Linked DNA regions of Arabidopsis thaliana. The protein of the gene in region 2 interacts with the protein of the main gene of each other region in a pairwise test. Each region holds a gene or a part of one and is shown on either strand. Other genes may lie near its edges. The genes, in order: MAPKKK7, RABA1b and AT1G16000.

Region 1 (7,690 bases), on a different chromosome or scaffold from region 2:
ATTTGCCGCGCCATCTCTTCTCGTTTCTTCTTCCTCCGTCAGCAGAACAAAAAAAATGCAGCGAACAGAACACAATTGCTCCTCAAGGAAACAGAATCCAATAAGAATTAGGGTTTTAATTTTTTGAGAAAATTGAAAGAAAAGATTTCGAGATTGGTGGAGTTGAAAGATCAGAGATGCCAGCTCTATTACAGTAGTGAAAATACATGACCAAATTTTAATAAAATCAAAATTAAGAAAAAGGAAAGAACAAAACAAAAGTTTTGGGTTAGAAATTGACTAACTGTAATAAAGGAGAGGTAATTATGTTAATTTCTCATGCGCCTGTATTCTTCTTTATTATGTGGCCCATACTTTTTATTTATTTACGATTTCACCCCTTTATTTCCCGATTTGTAAAAATACTAGCATTTTGTCCAATTACTGATTAATCATCTATTTAAAAGGTGGTCCAAATATTTAATGCTTTTTCACTGGTGTCAATTTTAATTAAGGTGGTTAGTATTCATTAATGTATTATCAACCATTTTGTTATAACTTTCTCAATTGTAGGAGCTGGTATAATCGGATGTTTATAGCCAATCAAATTATAATTCATAGTAGTATCAAATCTTTAATATAAATAACTAGAAGCAACTAACCTATGCATTGTAATAACATTAGCCATTTGGATTTCAATATGATTGTTACTGCAAAATCTTTAAAATGAAAGGAAAAAAAAACCACGCAGGTGAAATAAAAACCAAATGAAGATTATTACCAAACGCCGAAGCTAGCGCGTGAGAGAAAAGGTCGGTAGGTTCATTGGTAACATCAGCAGACTAATGGAGAGAGAGAAACTTTGAGAAAAGAAAAAAACAACCAATCGAAGAACTCATAGAGATCACGAAACCCTAGTGGAAAGAGAGAAAGCTTTGTTGAAGACGGCGGAGATGATGTCATGTGGTGGGAAGAAGCCAGTGTCTAAGAAAACAACGCCGTGTTGCACGAAGATGGGGATGAAGAGAGGACCATGGACGGTGGAGGAAGACGAGATTCTTGTGAGCTTCATTAAGAAAGAAGGTGAAGGACGGTGGCGATCGCTTCCTAAGAGAGCTGGTTTACTCAGATGTGGAAAGAGCTGTCGTCTACGGTGGATGAACTATCTCCGACCCTCGGTTAAACGTGGAGGAATTACGTCGGACGAGGAAGATCTCATCCTCCGTCTTCACCGCCTCCTCGGCAACAGGTATATATATAGATATTAAAAAAAAATCTCGTCAAGTATTCAACTATACAAGATCGTTTAGTTTATATGCATACGTATGTGTGTGTCTCTCTCTACCCATACACTAGAGTTATTTTTTTGTTTAAGCTAGCTAGGGTTTTATTTCTTCCACATAAACATGAAGGTTCTGATTTTAGCTTGATCCCATTTTTTCTTATAGCTATATAAAACAATTATACTTTGATTCTTGATTCGATATTTATATAGAACAAAAGGTTAATCCCTTCTCTAGTTTCTTTAGAGTATAATTTTAATTAAGTTGATTCTGGTTCTAGAGCAAATTAATAGTTCTAGAGATCATTCATTCTTTTTTCAAATTGTTTATGATTACTAGGATAAAAATGCAAGCTTGTTTTGTAACCATATTAGTAATTAACCGCTCTTGTTCTTCATGGAAATTCTAATGTGTGATGCAGGTGGTCATTGATCGCGGGAAGGATACCGGGAAGGACTGATAATGAAATTAAGAACTATTGGAACACTCATCTTCGTAAGAAACTTTTAAGGCAAGGAATTGATCCTCAAACCCACAAGCCTCTTGATGCAAACAACATCCATAAACCAGAAGAAGAAGTTTCCGGTGGACAAAAGTACCCTCTAGAGCCTATTTCTAGTTCTCATACTGATGATACCACTGTTAATGGCGGGGATGGAGATAGCAAGAACAGTATCAATGTCTTTGGTGGTGAACACGGCTACGAAGACTTTGGTTTCTGCTACGACGACAAGTTCTCATCGTTTCTTAATTCGCTCATCAACGATGTTGGTGATCCTTTTGGTAATATTATCCCAATATCTCAACCTTTGCAGATGGATGATTGTAAGGATGGGATTGTTGGAGCGTCGTCTTCTAGCTTAGGACATGACTAGATACAGGAAGATATATAGTTGATCGAATCTTGATGTCTTCTATATCTACCATGCTTCAAGAAGGGGTCACAGATGCGATCTAGAAGGTTGGCATATATGTGTACTAAGTTGTTTTGTGGTGATTTGTGTGATTATTATAAAACCATAAATTGTGAGTGTAACTGAGTACACAAACCTCTATTTATATATATGGATATATCTATTGCGAATAAATGAATCATCACTATCGTTAAATAAGACTCGTGGTAAGCTTTTGTCAAATACAGATAACTAATAAGCATGTTCACAATCTTAAATTATGGTACTAGATATGTTTCTAAGTTTAATTTCTTCAAGAAGTTTATTTAATGTAAACAATACAGGCTAGCTAAGTGCTAACGTTAAACTTCATATCCTTGAAAACAAAAATACACTAAACTTTATAAGCTATTAAACATATTCCGGACAGTTTACATACTAAAGTACGATAATAACATATATGTTGTTTGAAAAAAAAAACATATATGTTGCCTATAGGTTTATTATGTGTTTGCGTCACCACACGAGTTGAGGTTATAAAACTCTATTTTCATGTAATACTAAATTAAAACTCAAAAATGTTTGTTTTAAGTATTTCAGACACAATTCATGAGTTGTATATATAAGTTGAAACTTATAGGTTCTTTTTATCGATGAGGATATACTATAAGTTCGAAAATCAAAGTTTGTTGCGTAGTTCACATTTACGTATCTTATAGTAAGACCAATGTTGGTCGAAGATATAGTTTTTTACCTATGCATGCAGATTTATTGTTTAACACAGTTTTATGTATATATATGCTTACTTCATCACAGTCTCTCGTCCGTGCGTTCTCCCTCTAGAATTCGTTACTTAAAACCAAAAAGAACACCATGCCGTTTTCACATTGACTCTTCACACGTTCCCACATTTACGCCATATAAACTACCCTTAGTTAAAGCCTAGGAAAATTGAATTATAGACCAACATTAGCGGTTAGAATAATTGACGTTTAATTTACATAAGTTTTTACTTTTTACTTAAAACGAACTTCGCATGCGACTATGCTGCTCCGACCTAACCTTCTCTTTGACCCTTCGGTTCACATCACAGCAGCAAAAATAATTAACTAACCGATAGTCTCTGGCTCAACCAAATTTAGACGAAAATGATTTATTGCCAAAAAATTCGTAAACCTAAGACTCTGATTAACAAAATTTTAGTGTTAGATACATAGTCATCATAAGATTGGATACTATATATAGTCGATATACTGGATATATCTTCCAACATCTCTAGAGGTTTTACTCAAAACTTCAAGAGAAATATATATGATGCCAACGAAGGGGAACATTAAATAAAAAAATAAGATAAACAAATTGAGTATATACATGTGATGCATAAAATGACATATTCATCTGCATATACACTAACACATCTAACACACGTATAATTAACGGATAAATATTACAACGTACCGATATGAAGATATTAGTCGCAGAGACTCAAAATATGTTACTCTTTTTTAACACTGCTGTTCTACATATTCTCTATATATACCATGCGTAGATAGATATGTACTGACCATTTGTGATAATTATGTTAAACAGAGTTAGGTTAAAAGAACGAAAAGAATTGACCGGTAGATTTGGTCTCTCAAGTCTCACTTGTGTCTTCAATAGAAAGTTTGATCTTTCTTTTTGGAGATAATCAATCAATAAAGATTATGGAACATGTTAGGTACCAACTAATACTCTTCAGTTTAATTATCTCATCTGTAATCGCTTTTCTCTAGAAGTTATGGCCTACTATTCTTGTTTCAAAACAAAATGCTCTTGTTTTCTTATAAAAGAAACAATTCCTCAGTTATATTCAGACCATATATGATCTTTGGTTTTCGAGTCCTTGACGAAAAGATTTGACACTAAATTGTATAACCTTCAATAAATTGGAGTTGTTGAGGATTGGTCCTACCTCACATTGTTGCCTATTATCTGAGCAAACAATTTTCTTGGCCATCTAACATTGTGGTTCCACTTTTATGAATGTACATTGATGACCATTAACTAACCAAAGAACTAGGTGTATTTATAATACATCAGTTGTCTTTTCCTCGTATTGAAGATCTCACTTGGCAAATCGCAATGTCCATTCTTTGGCTACCTCGTCATGCTTTTCTCTATCTGTCAAGTAGAGCCGTGCAATCACCGGTAAAGCTGGACTATCTGGTCGATGAAGAAGAAGCAAAAAGAATAAGAACAATAGAGATTTACTATGGAAGTTAAATACAGTAGTTAGATGCGGACATCTATTATGTTTGTTGGCCAAAACTCATCACAAACTTTTTTTTAAAAACGTTCTCTTAGGTAGATCTGACATGAGCTGGTCATTTCATCAGAGGACTTGAAATGGTCTGATCTGAAGCCTGAGAGTAGAATAGAAACTTACAGGGTTCAGGTTTTAAGAAGATAGATCTGATGGCTTGTAAGACTTTAGTGATTGTAAGGGCTGGACTCCAACTATCTCTTAGAATGTTCACACTTAAATCTCCCGCAGTATCAACATTGCAATGGTAAATCCGAGTCTTGAACACCAACTGCAAATCAACCTCACCAACTTAACCAAAAAGACAGATGTAATAAAAGTGCAAGCTCTAGATTAGTACCTATAGCTTGACTATCACTAGACCCAAAACTTCAAGAAATTTGCTACAAAATGTATCCTAAGACTATGTTGAAAGCAATAAAACTACATAATATGCTAGACACTGAGAGTCTGAGACACTAGATGATCTCTGTTTCAATGTGATGCAGTTGAAGACTCATTGATATTCACTAAATAGTTCTTCCTAAAGAGATCATCATTAGAAATCAAAACTTCTAAACCTTAAATCATTACCAGCTAAATCAGTAAAGCTCCCAAAATGTGTTAACCAAAGAATCCATGATCATACCTTAGGTGGCTTGAATGGATAATCAGATGGGAAAATTATATCCAGGAAAAAGATCCCTCCTTCATAGGGAGTTCCTGCAAAAGTTCCATAAACACCAAATTCAAAGACTTGAAAACCTAACAAATTTTCAATCGGATTATCTACAAATATTCAAAGAGAGTATCAGAATTAAACCCGAAGGACCAATGATGGTGGCGATCCAATGGTAGAGATTATCTCCTTTTGGACCAGCTGAGCAATCAGGAGGTGGATCAATGTTAAGCTCAGCCATCTCCCTCTGTATCCTCTTCCCTGACGCAGAAACTGAAGTCTTCGCTACCCAAGACGACGCCGTTCCTGAATATCCGGCGTACATCGCCGTCGGTAACGGTCTCAACCTCCCGCTTCCGCCAGGTGTCATCATCTCCCGTCGTCGTCGTCTTCCGATACTCTCTGCTTATCCAATCCACCACTTGATCGTTTCGCTCGCACTCCATCGGGAAAAGATTTCGAAACGCCGCGTTTTTGTCCGATCAATTAAACAAATAAAGTAATCGCTGACGTGGAGATTAATTTTGTAACATGTATTTTTTATTTTTATTTTCTCTCACTAATCACTATCAATAAATTTGTAATCATTTTGACAACCAAATTTATTTAAGTTGAATTATCGAATATTCTTGTCCTTTTGTGTAATGTGATCATGTTATAACCACGTGAATCCTTAATAATTTGATAAATGATTATTCAAAGTTCTTGAAAAAGGCACACATTTTGGAAAGAAAATTGAAATTATCCAAAATCAATTTAATTTTTGTTTAAACATAATCAAATTTACTCTGTCAATTTTTATGAATAACATGATTTACGTAAACTCTCCTACAATGCACTGATTCATTTGAATATGAAATTTAAATCACTCTAATTCGAATATTTTAGTTCAAAGATGAAGACAAAAAAAAGAATGGGAACTTGTGAGCCCTCTTTAGTCTCTAGTTACACTTACACTAAAAACAAAGTACACAGTAACTACCGGTAACCGTAAGAAATCCAATCCAAGCCACAGGTAGACTTCCCCGGTTACTACAAAACCGCTTTTTGGCAAACGTTCTACAAAAGGCGGTCATGCTGAAGCAACAGTTGTAGTAGAGTGAGAGCTAACGGTGCCAATATGGGAAGATGGTAGCTAAAGATGATACGTGCGTTTGCGTTTCCTCCCAATGGACTTGCGGGTCCTAACGCATCCGGAGGAAAGTTTCCATTAGTAGCGTTTGCGTTTAAGCTGAGATAAATGGAAAATGATTTCAAAGAGTTAGGAGCAGATTTCATTTTCAAAACTTAACAAGACATAAATTTAGTATCGTTACCTTCCCGTATATGCACATGTTCTATAGCCTGCAAACACACAAGCCATCGAATTTGAGATTTACTCTGAGGAAACAACTTGAAAACATAGAATTATTGCAACACATAGATCAGAGGAAATGAGAAAAACTTACTAGGATCTCTAGTCGTAGTGATAGCCGTACCATCAAAGTCACAAGTTCCACCTGCACTTTTCATCTTCTGGTAATAGTCATTGAAAGCAAAAGAAGCATGGCTCTTAACATCGTTAGGGAGGTAGCAAGGTTGGCCCGGTTGAATGGCAGCGCAGTTAGCTCGGCCTTGACCACACGCCCAATTCAAACCGTCAACCAACTTATCATCATCAGCATCTGCTTTAGCCACGCAGAACATCGATGAACCGTTTAGAGCTGCGGAGCTAGAGCCACCACTCAAACTCAGAGGGTAAACCGAGGTCCCATTTGGAAACAAAATCCCCCAGTTTCTTTCAGAGACTGGTCCTGACCGCTTGTCTTCATTGTACAGCTCGTAGATGTAAGTGTTTATCGGTATGTCTGGTTGACTAGGAGGACCTGAGTTGTTCAGCACTCTCTTGATCAAGTTAGTGTTGAATGTCTCCGCATTAGCGACTGTTGCAGCCGCTTCATCGCTTCCACCAGACGAAGGCCAGCCTGTTTCCGTGACTACAACAGGAATCTTGGAGAAATTCAAAGCTTCCATGGAGTAGTAAGCAGCATCAACCATAGCATCAAACATGCTGTTGTAATGTAAAAGCGTGTTGGGATCAACAATCTGCTTCACCGGAGAAAGCTGCTTGAACAAAGCGTAATCAAGCGGGAAAATCCCATTAGCGGTTGTGTAACCGTAGTAAGGATACGCGTTTAACATGAAAAAGGAACCAGTGTTCTTCAAAAACTGAAGAAGCTGGTAAACCGTGGTGTTCCACGACGGGCTAAAGGTAGATGTAGATGGAGGAAACGGTTTAGGCATTATATCCATAGACATAGGGCTGGAGACTTTGACCTTAAAGTTGAGATTGGAAGCCACAAGAGCCTTGTGAATGTTGTTAAGAGCAGAGGCGAGAATCGGCGCCACGTGAGGAATCGTGGTGAGAACCTCACTACCAACAGCAATGGCGGTTATATTAGTTGAAGGAATATAAGCAGCGACGTTTTTGTTAACCCAAGCAGCTGCAGCTGAAGGAAACCGTCCGATTTTGAGGATTTCTTCATTGGTTACACCGACCATAACTTCGATGCTAGTGTTGGCAAATGCTTTG
Region 2 (7,690 bases):
CTCTCGAGAAAGATTAGTAAAGATTCCCAAGATCCGACCGCCATGTCCTTGACGCTCAATACAGAAAGTTTATGAAATTTTGGTAGTGATTTCGATTTCGAGAAGTGACGATAATCCTACAAAAGGAGAATGCATGTTACAACTTTTCACATTCAAAAGAAAAAGAAAAAAACGCTTATATAGATAGTTAGAGAGAATCAAGATAGATAGTTTACCTGAAGAATGTCAAAGGAGATAGTCAAATCTCTGACACAAGAGATGAGTTTAAGAATACTAAGCAAGGTTTCACCAAAATAAGCCACATCATCAAGATTCAACATGACAATGGAACTCAAATCATTTATAACGATTCTTTGAATAAACTGACGGTTCAGCTTTAGATACTTGAGCTTTGGGGTTTGCATTACAACTTGTGTTTTCAGATAGCCAGTTTCATTATTGGTTAGACAGAAGCTCAATAGAGACTGAGATGAGACTTTAGCTCCATACATCTTGTCCATAGTTAGGGTTTCTAGGGCTGGGCAGACTGAGACCAGCTTCTCCATATCCAAACTGTCAACAAAGTTGATTTTTTGTAGATCCATGATCTTAAGACAAGGCAGAGAAACTGAATCCGGCGATTTAGGCAAGTTTGCACGATGGAGCTTCAAGAATACCAATCTCTCACATGATGTATAAATAGTTGGAGGTATCTCAACTCTATCATATACATACCTTCTATTACTACCAACATCTAAATGTTGAATTTTATGTTTAATCACATTGTTCATCATCATCGACGTCATGTTTCGACAATTGTGACCATATCCAACATACCTTAGCTTAACTCTTTGTAAGAACATAAACCTTTCGAGAAAATCGAACTTATCATAATTTTTGGAGCCATTGATCACCAAATCCAACCCAGGCAAAGATTGCCAAACATATCTCCATCTGCGACATATAAGGCTAGTCTTGACCACCTCCTCCGTGGGAAGATTGAAAAATATCTCACAAAGCAAAGAATCTGGTAACTGGTTAATTATATTATGACCAACACGTTTCTCCTCAAACGTCATCTATAACTTCTGCGTTATATCAAACAATAATCACGAAGGAGAACTGAACAAGGAACGACGATCCGATCACTCGACTCTGCAAAGGGTTTCTGAGTCTTGATCACGTCAATACGTGAATGCGGCTATTTAAGGTTAATTTAAGTTTTAGGTAAATCCGAATCTTATAATGACCGAGATTTACGTAACAAAAAAGATGTAACTTTACTTTTATGATTTTATCCAACATTGAAAAGAAAAAAAAAAAAAAAAAAAAGGAAATTCATAGATACCATCTGGTTTTACAACTCCAACAGAGAGTGTTAATATATAGTAGGTAAAGAAACCTCTTCTGTAAGAAGAGACTAATCCACCAACATGTTACAAAAAAAACAAGCCTTGATTTATCTGTAGATCATCGGATTGGATACAAAACTGGATTTATGAGAGACGGCCTCGTAAGGTGGCTCAATTAATCCATGACAACTTGACAACTCGTAGAGCTTCTTGGAATCGCTTTGATTTCGTCGATGATGTTACAGAAACTCGCACTTACTGTCAGTTTCTTGAGAGCTGCACCATTCTCTAGAAAGTACTTTGCTAATTTCCTCTTACTTGATGTTCCTGTGAGCGGTCTCCCTTCCTTTTGCATGTTAACAACGTATGGAGTCTTCAAATGAACAAACTCAAGAGATGATAGGAAACATTGTGGCACATATGAAAGATCAATCTGCTCTGTGTCTGGAAAGCAATCAAATTCCTGATAATATATAACCGAGGGAAGTTTGAGTTTTTGTTATCAAAAATCTTAATGTGATTTACATGAGGGTAGAAGAAGCAAATGAAAACTCACCATGACGAGTGAGTGTAGATTTGGGAAGCTCTCAAGGAAGGTTGGCAACATTTCCCACCAAGTATCTTCGAAGTAAGCATGCAAGCGAGACAAGTTAGAGAATTGAGGTAGTTGTTCCATTTTGCAGTAATCATGAATAACCTATGCAGCCAAAAAAACAAACAAACATGGGTTCACTGAGAAAATGTGATAAAGCCATAAAGGAAGTGTATAAGCTTAATGTTATTGAATCGAGCATATATATACCTGTAGAGTATCAGAAGATATGACCATTTCGCTGACCGTAGATAACCCAGTGAGGAATTTACCTAGCATAGCTATCTTGGAAGAATCATCTGGTTCCAATGGATCATTATATTCGACATTAAAGATAACATCGATATCTACCTTTGCAAAGGGGCCAATGTTGTGTATTATGAAGCTGTCAGATCGATGATCACAAAGATTCATATACTCAAGTCTTGGAGCATCGATTGTAACAACATGATTTTGACTTTCGTAGCGCTCAGAATCTATCTTGAAGCTTTTTAAAGACTGGGAACGCACACACACAACTTCAAGAGAATCATTGGGATCACGAACTATGGTTAACTCTTCCAAAACTGGACAACCTGATATTAGAATCTCCAGAGTCGAATCAGCATCGTACTTGACCATATCAAGATGCATAATCTTGACACAAGGCAGCGAAACAGATTCCGGATGATCCAAGGCTACGCGGTAGAGCTGTAAGTTCACCAATCTTTCACATGAATAGAGAGATAAAGGCATCTTAACTAACTCGTCATCATCATCCACCTCATTATGAACATTAAAATGACAAACTCTACGCTTAATCACAGCATTGATCCAAGACTTGAAACGAGAAGCATCGTGCTCATTAACCTCATAGATCAACTTGAATCTCTCCAAGTGTTGCTCATTTTCAGAACCCAGAAACCTATTTACGAAACTCACAAAAACATCATCATCTGGGAAGTTATTGGAATCCAAATCCAATACAGGAACATGTAACCAGAGATTTCTCCATCGTTTTGATAAAACGCTTGTGCAAACCGATTCTTTTGTGGAGAGATCTGAGAGAATCTGACATAACAAGGAATCAGGTAAATTGCTTATCCTATCGGAGTTCCTTTGCTTCTCTTTAACAGAGGTTTCATCATCCATGTCGTTTCCTTAAACTCTGAACTATATAGTTTGAGACTGAATCATGTAAATAACAAACTGAAGAATCACGAATCTGTTAGCTAAAAAAGTCAACTCATAAACTCCAGAAAGAATCAAACGATACTGAAATTACCTGTAGTACTTAAGTATTATTTATTCCCAAAGAGATAACGGCGAGAGAGGAAGAATAAGACGAAAGCACCGTCAATTTTCCGGGAAAAGGGAACATAGATCGTCTCGCTTGCTTGTTGACATCTTTGACATCTCTAAGATGCAGACAATAATAGTCAACTCAGGACATTAATCACGTAGTTTTTTTTTACTATCTTTAATATTTACATTGATTACAAATTTTAGCTAGAAAAATAATGTATGTCATGGCGTGAGTCAATTAATAATATAACCAAAGAGAAGTTAAGTTTTTGAGATATGAAATTACATTATTACTAAAAGTTAAAACGTCCTATTTCAAGAAAAAGTTTGTGTTTATATTGTTGTACTTCCCACTTTATTAGAGCTAACTAATCTAGTGATCTTATGGTGATTTAATGATCAAATTTTTAGTCTTCACCCTGCTAATACAGCGAAAACCTGTAAAAAGTAAAAACCTTTTGATATAACAACAGTCACACACGCGCCCAATAGATCAACGGACCAGATCTCGATTACAGTTACAGACTGTCTTGTCACAAGCCGTCACTTTAACACATACACCAATTTCTTCTCAGCGTTATTTCAAATCTCAGTTTACACCTTCACACTGCTGCGTCTCTCTCTCTCTCTCTCTTTCTTTCTCAGATTAATCGCTGAGAAGAAGCAACCACCTGGAGACGGCGGAGATGGCAGGGTACAGAGTGGAAGATGACTACGATTACCTCTTCAAAGTTGTTCTTATAGGCGATTCTGGAGTTGGCAAATCCAATCTCCTTTCCAGATTCACTAAAAACGAGTTCAATCTAGAGTCTAAATCCACCATTGGCGTCGAATTCGCCACTCGTACCTTAAAAGTCGATGGCAAAGTCGTTAAAGCTCAGATTTGGGACACTGCTGGTCAGGAGAGGTTCGTTTTTCGTCTTCCTCGTCTCTTCATTTCGTTCTTCGTCTCTTATTTGTATGTAAAATCGGCCTTCATGCTAGATCTTGGTATTTCACATTGAGTTTCGTGGCGTATTTTCGATTTATTCCTGGGTCAATTGGTCTCGAGTACATTGCAAATAGAAGCCACTGTCCCGGAGATCACTCTAAGCTCCTTTGCTTCCATACTTAGGTTCTCGATCTAGCAGTGGCTTTAAACGAGTTTCCATAGATCTATCGTTTTGGTGACTTTGATAGCGGACACTAGCTTTTTGATTCGTTTGTTTGACTTAATTTGAATTTATGTTACTGTGTTGGAATTGAGCTCTTTAGCCCAATCTATATGTTCTATCAAACAGTTTTGGAGTGAATGGGAGCTTAACATGAAGCTGATCTTATCTTCTCTAGGTCTAGGTTGGTGAGTGGTGACTATTCAATGTGTGATTCATTCACTGGCTTATGTGCTTGTTTTTAGTTTTTTGGTTGTGAATGTGTTCTGTGTTCAGCAGCCTTTTACTAGAGAGTCTCTCCGTTGACTTTTGTACTCAAATATTGCTCGTTTGTCTGAAGTTGACTGCATTTGACCACCATTGACGGATGGAATCTTGAGGTAGCTAATAATGTAGATTAAAAAAAGTGCCCTTCTTCTGAAATAAGTCTTTGGGTTTTGACTCAATATGACCATGATTGCTTTGATGGAATCTGAATTGGATGGATGAACAAGAGCATGCGATTTTTTCTGGTTAATGATCACTAGAATCACGAACACTTGCATAGACTATTGTTAGAATGCTACAAAGGACTTGCTCTGTTTGCTAGTTGAGTTGCCTCCATTGAGACGATTGTTTTACTTCCTTCTTTGACCTACCAATTTAATTATCACTTTTGGCAAAACATAAAAAGCTTATAAGAATTTTCTTCTCTGACACCTTTTGTTCTGTCAACCACTGATTCTCGCCACAATTTGAAGACTCACTTTTGCTTCTCGTCTCAGGTACCGTGCCATCACTAGTGCATATTACCGTGGAGCCGTGGGTGCACTCCTAGTATATGATGTAACTCGCCGTGCAACATTTGAGAACGTAGATCGGTGGTTAAAGGAGCTCAAGAACCACACAGATCCAAACATTGTAGTGATGCTGGTTGGTAACAAATCTGATCTCCGCCACTTGCTAGCTGTTCCTACAGAAGACGGGAAGTCCTATGCGGAACAAGAATCGCTCTGCTTCATGGAAACATCTGCCCTTGAAGCTACCAATGTGGAGGACGCATTTGCAGAGGTGTTGACACAAATTTATCGCATCACAAGCAAGAAGCAAGTGGAAGCTGGTGAAGATGGGAACGCCTCTGTCCCGAAAGGTGAGAAAATCGAAGTTAAAAACGATGTCTCTGCGCTGAAGAAACTCGGGTGCTGCTCAAATTGAAGCCTTTTTTTGTTTTCACTGTTGAGAGAGAATTATAACCCCCATGGTCCATTGTTTGATTATGTCCTTGTTTTGTAACACTATCGACATTTGTATGAGTTTTAGACCATACACTACATAATGTTTATTTAACTTTATTTCAAGAATTGTTGGTGAACCAGGCTCAATATGCATCAGTTAAGCAGAGGAATCTGGATCTAAAATGCCGACGTTCATCTTCGATAGTTGGATCGTCGCTCTCCTTGTCCTCCAGTTTTGATTCTAATTTCCTCTGTCTTTGTAATCTTCAAAATCCAAAACCACAACTTCAGAACCGGGTCGGGTTGCGTTATGTTGTCGGGTTTAGGTCTCATTTTGTCACTAAACTGCAAACGACGCCGTTCCTTTAGAGAAGAAGAAGAAGATAGGAGCGAGCGAGCGAGCGAGCGATTAGAAGAAGAAATGATGGAGGAAGGACCACCAGCTCCAAAGATGCTTCGAATGGTCTACTTCGTCGGCGCCGGATGTAAGTTCGCTTTATGCTGCTTCATATTTTTTTCTATTTTGATCTCGATTGAATCCAACATTCCAATAAAATATAAAATATTTCGCAGTTCTATGTACATTCGCGATCAATAAGTGGCGTGAGATGGAGAGAAACTCGCTTCTGAAACAGGAGCAGGAGAAGAATCAACAAGGAGATGTTGGTTTATTGCCTAGAGATTCGGTTCAGAAAGCTATGAAATGATGATCACTCTCTTCTTCATCTTTTCTTGTAATTTTGTTTTGATCTTGTGATTTTAGTATCGTTGACCTAAAGTTTGCATCTTTTTTTAATGAACCCTAGAAATCTGATACTCGTACTCATTGGTTTCTGGCTTTGTGCTTAATTTAAAGATTGCTGCTTTCTGAACTCAATTTGATCAAAGGGTTTCAATAAGTCACTGCTTAAAATCTCTTACGGGTTTAGCATTTTCGAGCATTTTAATGCAATTCCCGACCGTGGATGTAATCAACAACAATCACCATTACCAAATCCAAGTGAGTGAGTTCCGGTTGATCGATTACCAATTATCTGGAGAAATCGTTCAGGCACCGGTCGTGAGATCTGCTCGTCTTCTTCGTCTTTTCAAACAGCCCAATGAACCCAATTCCATAGGGCCCATTAACCCTCTAATGGGGGAAATGCCTAATTTGATTGCAATTTTAGTACTCTCCACTACTTGTTCTGCAGCATTTGTTCCATTTTAGCCCCACTACTTTTGCGTATAAACCATATATACCTTAAATATATATCATCTCACCTTGCTTGGCCTCACTAAAATTTGAAGAACGTCATAGCGTTTGGTATGTAAATATTTACATACTTTCTACAGTTTGTACTCACCTAGTTATATGAAACAAGATTCGTATATATACCTCACAAGAATTCCATCAACTAAGGCTCATTCTATAATACACTTGATCTAGATATTGATAAAAACAAAATAGTGGATTATAGTAACTCTGTCAATAAAAATTGGATGAGTCAAAACACACTAAATTATAATCTCTGTATCATTTATATATAAATAGATAGGTAACAAGAACAAGTCAATAATCATTAAACTATGATGATTCCAAGGTGATTTAATTAGGCAAATTAAGTCCAAGTAGTACTAGTTCCCGTACCAACAACTACAAGACGCTTCTTTTTTTTGTACAAAACTCCTCTCGCCTTCGCCTGTGAACCTCTCACTTCCCTCAGAAAAATCCTAATCCCTCCCCGGGCAAACGGGTTTTTCTCCGTTAAGCCACCGTTCTCCTCGTAAGCTGCTCTCAGCCGTCCGATCAAAGCATCTAAGCTTCCCCACGCCTGTTTCAACGGGCAGTTACACTCTCCTGGTGGCTCTTTCTGTCCGAAGAAAACGCATCCTTGGATATGAACTTTTGTTTTACCAAACTGGTCACGACTTTGGAGGAAATCGAGGATGTGGTTTGATTCACACTCCCATACGTGAACTGGTGGCATCTTGGTCATGAGATACTGGCAAAACGTGTTCCAGTCGCGGCTTTTTTGTGACTCATAACGGCTTAGAGTCGGTGGTGGTCCTTCTACTATGCATTTGCCTTTGTTTCTCGTGTTTGTACTCGTCATTTCTGAAAGAAAAACCTTCAGA
Region 3 (7,417 bases), 290 kb from region 2:
ACAAGGATCAAGGAAGAGGAGCAGGTGGACAGCTGCTAACCGCCACGAAATAAACCGGGTCGGGTTATCAAATAATCGGGTCAATATCTGAAACGGGTAAACCGAATATTTCTAGATGCTCCACCGGTTAAGTCAGACATATCCGTCTGAATTATACGTTGTGTGAATGCGAATCTCAAATAATTTGTTCAATCATTCAGTTAGTATCTTACTTTATTACTCGGTTAATTATTAACCATAAATAAAAATAATGGGAGATAGTGATAATGACACAACGTTAAAAGATCTAAGTAGTTAAGTAGTTTAGATTTGATAATATAATGGGAAGTTAGAGATAACCGGTAAATTAGCTATAGTCGGTCGGTTAGCATTCCGGTTAACCCATCAATGGCTCGTATTCACACTAGTCGCGCGACTAACTAATAGAGAAAAAGCTTTTGCGTGTTTGTTGTTGTCTCCATCGCTCGTTTGTTTCTTCTTCAGCCATATCGGAAAAAACGATATCCGACGAGCCATTCGGTGTTTGTTCCGAGAAGCTCCGATCGATCTGTGTTAGGGTTTTTCTTTTTCCGCCTTATGAATCTCTCTATCGCGGTTTCATTAGATTCAGTTTAACTCGAGTGATGAAACCAATCTCCGTGCTAGAGGTAAAATTCTGTTAGGTTTTCTCTTTTTTGTTTTTATGCTTCGTACCGATCGATATGATTCCTGGTTCGTTTTGTTTCCAAATCTGCAGCTCTTTGATCCCGTGGCTGGTAGGATATTACGGCGTTTGTAGCTCTGGTATGGCTTTTGTTGTTCGTTTGGTTCTGATTTTCGAAAATTTTCGAATTTTTAATCGGAATCTGATTCTAGTTCATCGTTTTATTGTTACAGTCGTCGTGGATAGAGTTAGAACGACGAAATCAGCCTTGGTTTCCTAACTGGTATTTGTTCTTTAGCCTATGTTTTCAATTTTTCTCTTCCGGTTTTTTGGTGGTTTGTGAAACTACTTAATCTTCTTGATTACCTAATTAATCATATCATTGTTTACATCATTTATTTTGATATTTGTAGTTATTTGGCATTTCAGTATCTGAATTTTTGCAACAATGTCTGAGCTAAAAGAGCGCCTGCTTCCTCCAAGACCTGCTTCAGCTATGAACCTCAGAGATGCTTCTGTGACTCGGCCTTCTGCTTCTGGAAGACCACCCCTTCTTGGAGTTGATGTCTTGGGTCTGAAGAAGCGTGGACAAGGCCTACGCTCTTGGATTCGTGTTGATACTTCTGGTAATACTCAGGTCATGGAGGTTGACAAGTTCACTATGATGCGTAGGTGTGACTTACCCGCCCGTGATTTAAGGCTGCTTGATCCCTTATTCGTGTATCCCTCTACTATCCTAGGCCGAGAGAAGGCTATTGTTGTCAACTTAGAGCAGATCCGTTGTATTATTACTGCAGACGAAGTTCTGCTTCTGAATTCCCTTGACAACTACGTGCTGCGCTATGTTGTTGAGTTGCAGCAGAGACTAAAGACTAGTAGTGTAGGTGAGATGTGGCAGCAGGAAAATTCCCAGTTGAGTAGGAGGAGGAGCAGGAGTTTTGACAATGCTTTTGAGAATTCATCCCCTGATTATTTACCTTTCGAGTTTAGAGCTCTTGAAATAGCCCTTGAAGCTGCTTGTACGTTTCTCGATTCCCAGGTTAGTAACACTTTAGCTTCGATTTTGTTTCCCCCTCAGAAAATATAGACTAATATTGGGCTTGGATTTGACTACTACACGCTAAGTTGATTTAATTTTATCCTTCTCTATAGGCTTCAGAGTTGGAGATTGAGGCATACCCGTTATTAGATGAGCTTACCTCAAAGATCAGTACACTAAACTTGGAGCGTGTGCGTAGACTAAAGAGCAGGCTTGTAGCACTGACAAGAAGAGTTCAGAAGGTTCGGGATGAGATCGAGCAGCTAATGGATGATGATGGAGATATGGCAGAAATGTATCTAACAGAGAAGAAGAGGAGAATGGAAGGATCTATGTACGGTGACCAGTCCTTATTGGGTTACAGGTCAAATGATGGTCTATCTGTTTCTGCACCGGTGTCTCCTGTTTCTTCTCCACCTGATTCCCGAAGACTTGATAAAAGCTTGAGCATTGCGAGGAGTCGGCATGACAGTGCAAGGAGTTCTGAAGGTGCAGAGAATATAGAAGAGCTAGAGATGTTGCTGGAAGCTTACTTTGTCGTCATTGATAGTACTCTAAACAAGTTGACATCGGTACTTTAATGGCTCCTCTCATTTTTACTTTTGATCTTTCTTCGCTAGACAGCTTTAATCATCTGTGTTCCTCTCTTTACTTTACAGTTAAAGGAGTACATTGATGACACTGAAGATTTCATTAACATTCAACTGGTAATACCTCAAAATTCCATCTTCCACAGCTGATATTAATCCAGATTGAGAATGCACAAGAGTCATGCTGAAAACCTCTTCAATATCTGCAGGATAATGTGCGGAATCAGCTGATCCAGTTCGAGTTGCTTCTGACGACTGCAACGTTTGTTGTAGCCATATTTGGGGTCGTTGCTGGGATCTTTGGGATGAACTTTGAGATAGACTTCTTCAATCAGCCAGGTGCATTCAGATGGGTACTCATAATTACTGGAGTATGTGGCTTTGTGATATTTTCGGCATTCGTCTGGTTCTTCAAGTACAGAAGACTCATGCCTCTATAAGAAGAGAGACATGAATGTGCTCCCCAGAAAGTAGACATCAACTTATATTGTTATGTTGCTTACAGATATTAATGATTTGTTTCCTTTACACAATGGAATCTTGGGAATTTTTATCATAGGCATTGTCAATCCAAATGTGATAGAATCTTTGATCTTTTTATTAAAAAACGGATAACCAAACATGGTGCATGAAAATGAGAATGATTTTGAATCTAAATCACAAAAAAGACTCAGATTTTGACTAAGTTTTAACTTGTGTGGGAAAATGAGTACGAGATAACAGTGTGCAAATGACTCAATCCTTCAGACAGACTACTTGTTAGCTGATGAAGACGATGAGAGGCGTGCTTTTCGAGCTTTATCGGCCTTGTCCATGTAATCTTGGTGAGATTGATGCTTTGACCCTAAAAGAAACCAAAGAACTTCAACCAATTAGCCCAAACAGAGTCAACACTATAGGATGTAACCAAAAGCAGATGTAAGAGATATACAGATTCAGGTCCTATGGGAATGTTAGAATGAAACAATGTGATCCATTTCCATATATACTGAGAAACCATTTACTCACTATGTCATGTTTCTCATTTTGCAAGAAAACCAAAATCAGAATCTAATTGCAATCAAAATCCTCCAATTTCATCTTCTACCAATTACCCTTTCAATCCCCAAGAAGGGATTTGGTTATACAATTATTAAACGATGAGAGAGAGATCGGACCTTGAGTCATCAAATACCAAGGAACTCCGAAGATGATGGTGACGATTCCGATCCCGACCAAGACGTGCTTCTTTTCACCACTGTAAACGTAATGTTCCATTTTAGCTCTGAATCCTCCGCCTCCGGCCATACTTGCAGGACCACCGTTGGTCTTCGTCTCATTTCCCATTTCTCAGATCTCTCTTTTTTACTTTTCCTTTCCGATCAACAGCACACAAGGTTTATCCATCAGAGGTTTTAGTACCATGTATAAGTGGGCCTTATTATGGCCCATCAACATAAGATTTCCTTTTTATTGAATAACATTTTAAACCCCATATTTTGTTACATATTAGTGTAGAAGCGTGATAACTTTCTGACATTACAGTTTCACCAAAAAATACGCGGTAAATTCGCTACTCATCGAAAGCCAATAAAGAGAGTGAATTAGATAGAAGAGAAGAGAGCTATAATAACTCTTCGCGCCTCGTCAAAATACGCGGTAAATACGCTCCGCATCAAAAGTTAGTTAGTGTATGATTATGGTAACCAACTTTCACAACGGTCCAATCTAAAGGAGTATTCAATCATTCATCCGTCATCTATGGTACTAAGTAGGAACCCTCAATTTCTTCATTCTCAAGTTTCTTCAAGCCCTAGATTTTCCTTAATCATTCATACACTTTCCCACATTTATTACAAATCACTTTAAGTATTTGTTGCCGATCCTTAATTAGCTCTTTTCCAGTTTTTATTTCATATAATTGAGATCTGTTGTGATGTTGTTAGGTTAATTTTTGCATGAAGCTTATGATTGTTTCTCAGAATAATGTACAAATCCCAATACATAAGCGGCCAAAGAGAAAAATTCGTTAGGTAAGAAAATCAAAAGATCGCAATATTTTTCTTTGTTTTCTTCAGATCTATGAATGACATTTAACTTATAATTACAGGTTAGATGATATAGATTCAAGTTCTTCTCCTGCGACTGGAATGATGATGCAGAGAAACTGTTTCGGATTTAACCTAAAGAACCGAGGAGGTGAAAAGAAGAAAGCATCCAAATCTTTCAGGGAAGGAGTTAAAAAAATCAGATCAGAAGGTCTAATAACCATCGGTAAATCCGTTACAAGAGCGGTTTTTCCAGAAGACTTAAGAATAACAGAGAAGAAAATCTTTGATCCTCAAGACAAAACACTTCTCGTATGGAACAGATTGTTCGTCATTTCGTGTATTTTAGCTGTCTCTGTTGATCCTTTGTTCTTCTATCTTCCCATTGTCGATAATTCCGGAAGCAGCTGTATAGGGATTGATACGAAACTAGCTGTTACAACGACGACTCTTAGAACCATTGTTGACGTTTTTTACTTAACTAGAATGGCTCTTCAGTTTCGTACAGCTTATATAGCTCCTTCTTCTCGTGTGTTTGGTCGTGGTGAGCTTGTGATTGATCCTGCAAAGATCGCTGAACGCTATTTAACCCGTTATTTCGTCGTCGATTTTCTTGCAGTGCTGCCTTTACCGCAGGTAAAACAGAGTGAAAAGATCCTTTGATGGTTACTAAAAATATTGGACTTTTGGGATTGATTATGATGTTTTGTGTGGATATTACAGATTGCAGTGTGGAAGTTTCTTCACGGGTCTAAAGGATCGGATGTGTTACCAACGAAAACGGCATTGTTGAACATTGTAATTGTGCAGTATATTCCGAGATTCGTGAGGTTTATTCCGTTAACATCAGAGTTGAAGAAAACTGCAGGAGCTTTTGCCGAAGGAGCTTGGGCTGGTGCTGCTTATTATCTTCTCTGGTATATGCTTGCAAGCCACGTAAGCGTTTCTATGTATATATGACTCTTCTTAATTAGTGTTTTGAGACATTTATTCATCATTGGTCACTTTCTGACTTTACAAACACATTTTGACAGATAACTGGAGCGTTTTGGTACATGTTGTCAGTGGAGCGTAACGATACTTGTTGGAGATTTGCGTGTAAAGTTCAGCCAGATCCGCGACTCTGTGTTCAGATTCTGTATTGTGGGACTAAATTTGTGAGCAGTGGAGAAACTGAATGGATCAAAACAGTCCCTGAGCTTCTTAAGAGCAATTGTTCTGCTAAAGCAGATGATTCAAAGTTTAACTATGGGATATACGGTCAGGCTATATCTTCAGGCATTGTATCATCAACAACATTTTTCTCCAAGTTCTGTTATTGTCTATGGTGGGGTCTTCAAAATCTCAGGTAAGGCGGGGGCAACTCATTGTCATTGGTTCAACCGATAGCTTGTGCAGAGTACTCTTGACATCTTTGGTGTTTTCATGAACAGCACGTTAGGTCAAGGGCTGCAGACAAGTACATTTCCAGGAGAGGTTTTGTTTTCCATTGCGATTGCTATAGCTGGGCTTCTTCTTTTCGCGCTTCTCATCGGGAATATGCAGACTTATCTTCAGTCACTTACTGTTCGTCTCGAGGAAATGAGGATCAAAAGACGTGACTCAGAACAGTGGATGCATCACAGGTCACTTCCACAAAATTTGAGGGAAAGAGTCAGACGCTATGATCAATACAAATGGTTAGAGACAAGAGGTGTAGACGAAGAAAACATAGTTCAGAGTTTACCTAAGGATCTCAGAAGAGACATCAAACGCCATCTCTGTCTGAATTTAGTTAGGAGGGTAAGTTTTCACAATCAGAATGCTAAAATTGCTTGAGATACTAACTAACTATGTGTTCTGTTTCTACAGGTTCCTCTGTTTGCTAATATGGATGAAAGATTACTTGACGCAATCTGTGAGAGATTAAAGCCGAGTCTTTTCACGGAAAGCACTTACATTGTGCGTGAAGGAGACCCCGTTAACGAAATGATGTTCATAATCCGAGGCCGGTTAGAAAGTGTAACAACAGATGGGGGAAGAAGCGGTTTCTTCAACAGAGGGTTGTTAAAAGAAGGAGACTTTTGTGGTGAAGAGCTTCTGACATGGGCTCTTGACCCTAAAGCAGGCTCAAACTTACCTTCTTCCACAAGAACAGTGAAGGCTCTGACTGAAGTAGAGGCTTTCGCTCTTGAAGCTGAAGAGCTGAAGTTTGTAGCAAGTCAGTTTAGGAGACTTCATAGTCGACAGGTTCAACAAACATTTAGGTTTTACTCTCAGCAATGGAGAACTTGGGCTTCTTGCTTCATCCAAGCTGCTTGGCGTCGCTATTCAAGAAGGAAAAACGCTGAATTGAGACGGATTGAAGAAAAAGAAGAAGAATTGGGTTATGAAGATGAATATGATGATGAGAGTGACAAGAGGCCTATGGTTATCACAAGAAGTGAGTCTTCTTCTAGACTGCGTTCAACGATATTTGCATCAAGATTTGCTGCTAATGCATTGAAAGGGCACAGACTTAGGAGCTCAGAGAGTTCAAAGACCTTGATAAATCTGCAAAAGCCTCCGGAACCTGATTTTGATGCTGAATAATCCAATTCTTGATGAGAGGCCAACATCAGAACAGAGACTACATAACTGATTTATACACATAAATGCTCTATATATAGAACTTGTTTCAGAAACTGTAAAGTTATCTACACGAGAGCCAATGATCCTTCAAAGACCTGCATTGCATTTTTAACAGTTCCAATGTCGATATCTGCTAGTTTTCCAGTCTTCGAAGCAATAATTACACAGTTACTCTTCTCTTCTGCATACGGTACAAAGAGCTTCCCTTTCTCTTCTGAAGAGAACAACCCAATACTGGAAGAAAAAGAAGCACACACATGTTAGTTCTTGAAAACATTGAATCAGTACTCTTTATATTACTCAGGTATTCACCATGGTTTGTCTCGCGCATTAGCTAGTTGAATCGCAGCTGTGTTTGTTGCGATGACTCCAGCAGAATCGTTTATCAGAGCAGCCAACTAAGTAAGCTCAAGAAAAGGAATCAAAGTAAGATCAGTGAATTCAACTTTGTTCATAACAAATACAGACAGATAAGCATGCATACCTGTCCTGGTGTTGTGATGAACAC

Evidence for each region.
Region 1: the proteins of RABA1b (region 2) and MAPKKK7 interact in a protein complementation assay, tested with the Arabidopsis thaliana proteins (one large-scale study listed by BioGRID).
Region 3: the proteins of RABA1b (region 2) and AT1G16000 interact in a protein complementation assay, tested with the Arabidopsis thaliana proteins (one large-scale study listed by BioGRID).

Annotation. Positions count from the first base shown.
Region 1 is NC_003074.8:4,419,307-4,426,996, forward strand, and holds the start of MAPKKK7 (mitogen-activated protein kinase kinase kinase 7), read right to left. Parts: upstream 3,695-7,690; 5' UTR 2,138-3,694; coding exon of another isoform or gene 1,684-2,137; 5' UTR 1,229-1,683; coding exon of another isoform or gene 933-1,228; 5' UTR 15-932; coding exon 1-14. Other genes in the region: MYB5 (myb domain protein 5), read left to right, coding at 933-1,228, 1,684-2,137; FUS9 (Ubiquitin-conjugating enzyme family protein), read right to left, coding at 4,263-4,360, 4,584-4,731, 5,089-5,162, 5,263-5,491; AT3G13560 (O-Glycosyl hydrolases family 17 protein), read right to left, coding at 6,178-6,349, 6,435-6,462, 6,567-7,690. UniProt on the Arabidopsis thaliana protein: Serine/threonine-protein kinase involved in the spatial and temporal control system organizing cortical activities in mitotic and postmitotic cells. Required for the normal functioning of the plasma membrane in developing pollen.
Region 2 is NC_003070.9:5,785,351-5,793,040, reverse strand, and holds RABA1b (RAB GTPase homolog A1B), read left to right. Parts: upstream 1-3,728; 5' UTR 3,729-3,893; coding exon 3,894-4,114; intron 4,115-5,122; coding exon 5,123-5,552; 3' UTR 5,553-5,882; downstream 5,883-7,690. Other genes in the region: AT1G16940 (F-box/RNI-like/FBD-like domains-containing protein), read right to left, coding at 1-116, 216-1,058; AT1G16930 (F-box/RNI-like/FBD-like domains-containing protein), read right to left, coding at 1,507-1,794, 1,888-2,028, 2,134-3,054; AT1G16916 (uncharacterized protein), read left to right, coding at 5,883-6,057, 6,146-6,279; LSH8 (LIGHT-DEPENDENT SHORT HYPOCOTYLS-like protein (DUF640)), read right to left, coding at 7,174-7,668. UniProt on the Arabidopsis thaliana protein: Intracellular vesicle trafficking and protein transport.
Region 3 is NC_003070.9:5,490,757-5,498,173, reverse strand, and holds AT1G16000 (GAG1At protein), read right to left. Parts: upstream 3,642-7,417; 5' UTR 3,599-3,641; coding exon 3,430-3,598; intron 3,117-3,429; coding exon 3,025-3,116; 3' UTR 2,815-3,024; downstream 1-2,814. Other genes in the region: MGT2 (magnesium transporter 2), read left to right, coding at 1,092-1,682, 1,796-2,254, 2,342-2,389, 2,482-2,712; CNGC7 (cyclic nucleotide gated channel 7), read left to right, coding at 4,238-4,284, 4,362-4,935, 5,023-5,235, 5,334-5,647, 5,733-6,081, 6,151-6,870; PnsB1 (NDH-dependent cyclic electron flow 1), read right to left, coding at 6,975-7,143, 7,222-7,307, 7,394-7,417.